Linked DNA regions of Caenorhabditis elegans. The protein of the gene in region 1 purifies or fractionates together with the protein of each later gene. This does not show direct contact. Each region holds a gene or a part of one and is shown in the gene's direction. Other genes may lie near its edges.

What was found.
Region 2: the proteins of fbxa-215 (region 1) and F12A10.8 fractionate together in Caenorhabditis elegans (co-fractionation; one large-scale study listed by BioGRID). This does not show direct contact.

The regions. Positions count from the first base shown.
Region 1 is NC_003282.8:13,665,301-13,669,056, reverse strand, and holds fbxa-215 (F-box domain-containing protein), read left to right. Parts: upstream 1-2,147; 5' UTR 2,148-2,160; coding exon 2,161-2,234; intron 2,235-2,277; coding exon 2,278-2,487; intron 2,488-2,545; coding exon 2,546-2,629; intron 2,630-2,673; coding exon 2,674-3,310; intron 3,311-3,366; coding exon 3,367-3,567; 3' UTR 3,568-3,693; downstream 3,694-3,756.
Region 2 is NC_003280.10:5,499,309-5,503,064, reverse strand, and holds the start of F12A10.8 (uncharacterized protein), read left to right. Parts: upstream 1-2,000; 5' UTR 2,001-2,033; coding exon 2,034-2,121; intron 2,122-2,167; coding exon 2,168-2,208; intron 2,209-2,411; coding exon 2,412-2,495; intron 2,496-2,544; coding exon 2,545-3,036; intron 3,037-3,091; coding exon 3,092-3,231; intron 3,232-3,276; coding exon 3,277-3,448; intron 3,449-3,498; coding exon 3,499-3,728; intron 3,729-3,756. Other genes in the region: WD repeat-containing protein fzy-1, read right to left, coding at 1-237, 289-370, 415-522, 571-674, 724-832, 896-1,090, 1,141-1,296, 1,348-1,413.

The DNA.
Region 1 (3,756 bases):
TGGGTTTTGTTTTTCTTTGCAAAAAAATTGTTTTAAACTTTATTATATACACCAGCCGATGACCGCGCCTCCGGCGCGGCCAACGACTGGCGGAGTTTAAAATGTAAAACACATAGATGCCTTTTTAATCATTCACAAATGCCTCATCAAAATAAAGTTGGCACTTTATCGATGAAATCGCATTTTCACTTTCCATGGTATACGATTCAGAAAACTCACAGAGACAATTAGAATTTTCTGGGTTTTCTTCCAACACATTGTCATTATCAGGCTTTCGAAAAAATTCTACAGAGCTATACTTTTTTTTTATTTACTTAAAAACTTTCTTTAACTGGAGAAGTCTGAAGAATTAATTACTAAGTTCTTTGAACATTGCTGTAGCAAAACAAAGAAAAAGTCCTACAGGGGTTCTAGAACATTCCAGAATTTTCCCCAATTTTTCAGTTCTTGAAACTTCCAGAAGGTACTAAAACAAAAATAGTTTCACAGAAAACTTGAATTTCCCTCAAAACAATGTTCTCATAAATTTTGAATTTCCCGCCCAAATTTTTAAGGGTCTCACCACAATGGGTCTCAGGTCTCACCACAATGGGTCTCAGCAAGGTCTCACCACAACAATTCCAGAATTTTCACGAATTTTTCAGAAGGTTCTAGAAAATTCAAGAATTTTTTTTCGAATTTTCCAGAAGGTTCTAGAACATTCCAGAATTTTCTCGAATATTCCAGAAGGTTCTAGAACATTCCAGAATTTTCTCGAATATTCCAGAAGGTTCTAGAACATTCCAGAATTTTCTCGAATATTCCAGAAGGTTCTAGAACATTCCAGAATTTTCTCGAATTTTTTAGAAGCTTCTAGAACATTCCAGAATTTTCTCGAATTTTTCAGGGGCTTCTAGAACATTCCAGAATTTTTTCGAATTTTCCAGAAGGTTCTAGAACATTCCAGAATTTTCTCGAACTTTCCAGAAGGTTCTAGAACATTCCAGAATTTTCTCGAATTTTTCAAAAGGTTCTAGAGCTTTCCAGAATTTTCCAGAAGGTTCTGGAACATTCCAAAATTTTCCCGAAGTTTCCAATTTCCCTTCCAAAGACGGATAGTCAATTTTTCCCAAACTACAATAATCCTACAGTACTCCTACAGTACCTCTCCAGTACTACTACAGCACCCCGACCATATCCCACTACTAACCCCAAACCTATATCTCTTCAAAAGACAAAAGCTCAATTTTTCCTAAACTACAGTAATCCTACAGTACTCCTACAGTACCTCTACAGTACTACTACAGTACCCCGGCCATATCCCACTACTAACCCCAAACTAATATCCCTCCAACAGCCGAAAACGCCTTGCCTTTGTAAGCTATGACGTCACAGACTACAAACTACGGCACAAACGGAATTATTTTTTTTATATATAGGTTTTATATATAGGATTTTTAATACGAGCATTTGGCTTCCCAAGCTTTCATAATCGCGACGAGGCCTAATTGTTGATTTATCGGGGTATGTTTTCTCATCAAATTCTTTGTACCGCGCATGTATGAAACATTTGAACAGGTGTGTCCTTGTGATCTTCATGGGATGTAATTTCGGTAGTGGTTTGATCCAAAAGCTCAATTCAAAATGGAAACCATGGAAATGAATATTTTAACGCTAACAATTTAACTCTGAGATGCACTTTTTCAGAACAACAGCACACTTTAAAAGTTATGCGATCGATTGAAAAATTGATTAAAATTGATTAATCAATTTAATTGGTGATTTTAAAACTTCGAGTACTGTAGCCAAAAGTGGTTGCGTACTTGACACATTTGACGCGCAAATGCACAGAGACTCCATTTTGGGATTTTCAGATCGTTTTTTTTAAAGTTTACTCGTTTCTCTTCGTTTTTTGTTCGTCAATTTATTTTTTTGTATAAGAAAAATATAAAAATACTAGTTTTAAGTAATTATATGGAAAAATCCCAAAAAATGGATTTTTCAGACTTGAAATTTGTTCAAAAAATTGACCTACCAAACAAACAAACATAAAAAACATTTAGCGCTAAATATTCAATTTTCGTTGAGAATTCTTTGTTTTCCATGTTCACATTCACTTCTTCCAAATTTTCCTCGCGTTTTCCATTAATAAAATTATATTTTTACAGATAAAATCTTAAAATGAGCGAAGCTCCTCACTCTTCCAGCATGGCGGATAGCAATTCCACAGTAGAACAATATCGTTCGTTGAAACGGTGAGTAATTGAAAATTAGATTCTAAAAATCATGATTTTCCAGGAAAATGATCGAGAAAAAGGATCTGATGAGAAACAATCGAACAGCACTTCGCGCATGTATCCTGTTCAATTGTCTCCTCGGAACTTCAATACGAGACGCTTATAATCAATTTTGCCGAGCCGTTGGATCCGATGTTATGGAATATCGAGAATACGAGTTCTGGTTCTATCAATTTAAAAGAGGAGATGCTGATTTCAGCGATGCAATTAGGTATTTTCAGAGACTTCAAAGAAATCAATAATTTCATTTTTAAAAAATTGATTTTCAGTTGGAATCCAAACACAATAAAGCTTGATGAATTGCCAATCGAAGTGATTAATACGATTTCCAGCTTCTCTATGCCAATGGAGAGGTTTGTTAGCCAGTTTTATTCAAATTTAAAATGAAAATTTTCAGACTAACGCTTCGAAAAGTGTCTAAAAACCTGCGCACACTCATCGATTCTGAGCCGTTTTGTTTCCAAAGGATTATAGTACGAATTGGACATCGAACATCGTATCTTCAATTGGACGGTTATCCGGGAATTGAATATATTCATTGTGGTGCCGATTGCAATGTTTTATATGGAAAACGTGATAAATATGTTAAAAACAAGAATCACGTTGAATATGCTCTGACGGAAGCCATTCAATTGATGAGAAATTCAAATAATCACAGCAAAGAGTTCCACGTGAGAGCAGAACGATCAAACGATCAGGAATTGTCAATGGTTCTCAGGAAATTTTTCGATTCTGTGGAAATTGAGCTTTATGCGAAGAAAATTGTCGTCAGTGGATTCAGTTTTGCCGATACATCTTCGGTTCTTTGCCATTTCAAAGCGGGATTTCTCGAGGAAATTCAGGTGTTACCGGGTTCCGGTGGCCCGTGGACCAACGTACTCGTCGAAATGGAACAATACAAGAAGGCAAAAGTATTGAAGATTTGCACGGAATTTCCAGTTTTACTGGATATCGAGGATTTGCTGCATTTCCGACGGTTCGAAATTGCGATAAAATCAGATTTCACTGAAAGAATGGCCAGAAAAATTCGCGATGTAAGTTTCCATTTTAATTTTCGTAAGTTTTAAATTTAATTTAATTTATTTTCCAGGTTCTCACCAATTCTGAACATTTCGAATATGCCCACATAATAACTCAAGATCTTCACCATCGGACAGTCATTAAATTCTTCAATCGAAATGCTGAAAATGTATTCTGGAATTATGGATCCATGAATTATAATAACAAGAAGCGCCTCTTCCACATTGAGTACAATCACCGACAATTTGTAATCAAAAAATTAAACATGTAGATAATCAAACAAAAATTGCCTTCTTCTCGAAAATGTATGTACTGATATTTGATTTGCACACTTACCCCTTGTTTTACTCTTTTTACTCTGAGATTTTTCTTGCAATAAACCTTTGTTCAGGTTAAAAATAAAGCACATTATCACGAAAAAAAAACTGTCAAAGAATAACTGAATTCACAAAAAAGTTTC
Region 2 (3,756 bases), on another chromosome or scaffold:
TAACTGTACTTCCTCTGACGTGACGGCCATCCCAAATCTTTGCAGTTCTATCAGATGATCCACTGACGCACATATTCTCATCTGCAGACCATTCGAGAGCTGTGACGTCACGACAATGACCATTGTCGCCTCCCCACGAACTAACAACATGTTGAGAGATTCTGACGTCGTGATTAACAATGTCTCCTGATTTATAACCACATGTCATCACTCCTTGCTTTCTCCATGCAATTGAAGCTGAAAAAATAATGAAGTTGAAGCATCACTCCGTCTTTCATTTTAACTGACCACATCGTGAAGCTCCACCGACTCGAAGGGTTCTCAACTCACGCACATACTCAGTGGTTTTCGGACGATTTGGATCATAGATCTGAAAAAGGAAAACTTGATCAAATATATTGACAGCAATTGTACCTTGACAGCTCCTGATGCGTATCCTAGGGAAATATATCGACCTTCCTGACTCCATCGTACTGAGGTGATCAGACCTTCGTTAGTCGGAGCATTGTCTTCAAAGAGATTCTGGAAAAAAACAAAACAATATTTTGAAAGTGGCCATCAAAATCTTGCCTTGATGACACATGTCTCAGTGTTCCAGAGGTATAATTCGTGTCCTAAAGCGACTGCAACCCAATTGTGACATCCCCAATCAAGATGACGTGAATATAAGTCTTCTGAAATTAATGGAAAACTTGAGAAAAAAGAACACATATATTAACTCACTAGTGAGTCCAGGTCCATCCAGGACTTTCGTCGCAGTCTCTTTGACATGTCTCGTCGACTTTTTCACTGACGATGCTGGATTGATCACACTATTTGTACTATACAATACCTAAAATTAGAGTTTTACTAATTTCCAACGATTTTTAAATTAAATTAAAGTAATAATCGCTACTTTTGCCTGATTAATATATCCAATTGCTGGTGGTGGAGCGAGATTTTTCTTATAGCAAAGAATGCGATCTCCATCATCAGCATCGGTAAGAGCTCCAGTGGATTTGTGGCGCATCATTTGTTTCAGAGCTTCTCCTTCCACACTTTTCTTCTCCGGACTGTTGGGCTCGGACATGGAATTATTCAAATTCTCTTTCTGTAAATTTCATCAATATAGAATTTTATTCATAAATTGTTTCCACATACGTTGCTGTAGAGCTTACTCGTCATGAGATGATTAGCATGATCGAGTTCATCCTGATCCAGTCGGACTCCAAGAAATCGATCACCTACGAAAGTTGCGTTGGGTAGCAAGTTTGTGTTGCGAGTGGGTGTCATGTCTCTTTTTCGCATTGTCAGACCCTGCAATTGGAAACTTTATGTCCAACAATATAATAATTGAACTTCCTGTACATTTTGTTGTGCGGACGATCTGACTGTTCTTCCGGCACTACCGGGCGTGCGTCCTTTGTTGTTCATTGTGGAGAATCGATAGCTACTGAAAAACAATTATATTTTTCAAACGAAAATTGAGCTGAAAACTAGATTAAAATTCTTTCGAGGAAATTCAAGCTTTGTAAGAGCCGTAGGAAAAATAAATAATCAACGTTTAGTCAAAATGGCATGCACGTTCGAAATTGCCGCCAGTTGTGGTCGAAAAAGAACACCGCTGGGGCGAATTTGCATTACTTGTATGATGAGATTAAGATCTGGAGAACCGAGAGCAACCGGAAATTATGCTTCCCTAAAACGGCAGTTTTTCGACATAAAAACACACAATTTAAGTGAATAATGTGTAATTTATATTAAAAAACGTTTGTTAGTGACATAATCTAGCGGTTATTAATTCTTATAAATTCTGAAAAAGCATGCGTAAAGCCAGAAAATCGTCAAATCTCGAAAAATGAAATCAATGCGAGTGAAAAAGAAAAATATCGCGGTTTCTCTCCCATACGGTTTTAAAGGCGCATACTTTCGCAGTTAATTTGGGGTCTCGCCACGATTACAGTAGTTTTTGAAAAATGTTCAGTTTGGAACATTTATTGTTTTTTATTATAATAAATAATCATTATTGTTGAACTTTTTTCTTTAAATTTATAATGCATCCACAGCGAGAAGTAATTAAATTTCGAAAAGGAAGATTTTACAAAAATCCAACAATCTCAAGCTTCAAGAGAATAGTTCCAAGTAAGCTCTTTTCCAAAAAGCCAACTTCTAACAACAAATTGTTCAGGTAATCGCCCTGTAGCTGTAGATGTCAATGGATTCCCCCAGGTAACATCTTCAAATTATTTATCAAACTTACAACATTAGTAGTTAGTATGTTAGTCGGAACATAAAGATCGAGCGAACAGGATGTGAGTTTTAAAAAGTAATGAATTTTTCCCATTCCATTTTTTTTAAATAAGAAAAGAACACGTGTTCAAAAAAATTTATCATTGGAATTGTGCAATAAAACAGTGATGTGTTGTTTGCAGAGACATCGGAGACACTATGTTCAAGCTGGAATGTTCGCCAATGCCAAAAGTTCCCTCCCATCTTCTGCAAATGTTTCATTTCAGGTTATTGTTAAAGTGAAAATTAAAGTTAACCAACCACAGCGTATTCCAGAATTCGGACGATAATCTGAGTACATCAAGAGGGCGTTCAGCATCCCCAACTCCGATAAGAAAATTTTCAAATTTTCCACGCAGCAATATTTCAAAAACTTGGGATTTTAGCGATATTGGAGTGAAGAAAGATCAACAAACTCGAAATCAACTACCTCCAATGAAGAGATTAAATTCTGAAGAAGAAGAAGAACAACAAGGGAAAACTAAGACAACGAAAAAAGAAACCATTGGAGCTTCGACTGTGGGTCGTTCAGTGAAGCATGTTCTTCCGTGGCTGAAAAAGTGGGGATCCCAAGATGCAGAAAGCAATATGAAGCCTATGAGAATAGAAAGATTAAAAGTTTCTCCCACGCTGGACCAAAGTATAAATCGATTTTCTTCACGTCTACGCCGAATCGATTCAATTCGTCCGATCCCACTTCAAAATCACACCGGGACCACGATAGGAACAGTTGAAAAGGCTCTTGTCGCAGTTGCTCTAGCAAAGACGGTTGGATTCAGTGCTCACTGAGACATTAACGGAAATAGTGTGTATTTTTTTTCAGAAATCTGAAGAGTATCAGAAGAATCCAGTTTTCGATTATTTAATCGAGAGGTCTGATTGGTTGTTGTATCGTGAAGAATTCAATGATAAAATAGACTATCTACCACAAGATCCTTTCTATTCACATGATATTGTGTCGAGGTAACTTCTATTCAGAAAGAGCTCAATAATAGTACATATATTCAGTGATTTCGAAGAGTACGAGCAGGAAATAGAAGAAGCACGCGACCCGTACTATTTGGAAATTGGCTCGGAGGAAAAACAAGCTCCCATCAAAGCAAGTGCATCAAAGCCTAGATTTGATGAAGCCAACTTCCACAATGAGGATCCTCTGAATCTGGACAGCCAGGAAGACTTTGTAAGTTGAATTAAATTTTTGAAATGGAATTTCAAGTTTTATTAATTCAGTTTGAAACATCATATTTGCCCAAAAACGCGGATGAATCTAAAAAACATCAGAAAAGTATGCTTCCTTCGTTCGGAGACTATACGACAAAATCAGATGATGAACGACAAAAGAACAGACTAGTTTCATTCGACACCGATTCAAGTGTGCCAAGAACGTCGAGAAAAAGAAATCACCAAGAAGCCTTATCGCCGTCTAAATCAAATCCCGACTATTCTCCATTTAATTACGAGTAATTCCGAAATTTCCTATCAAATAGT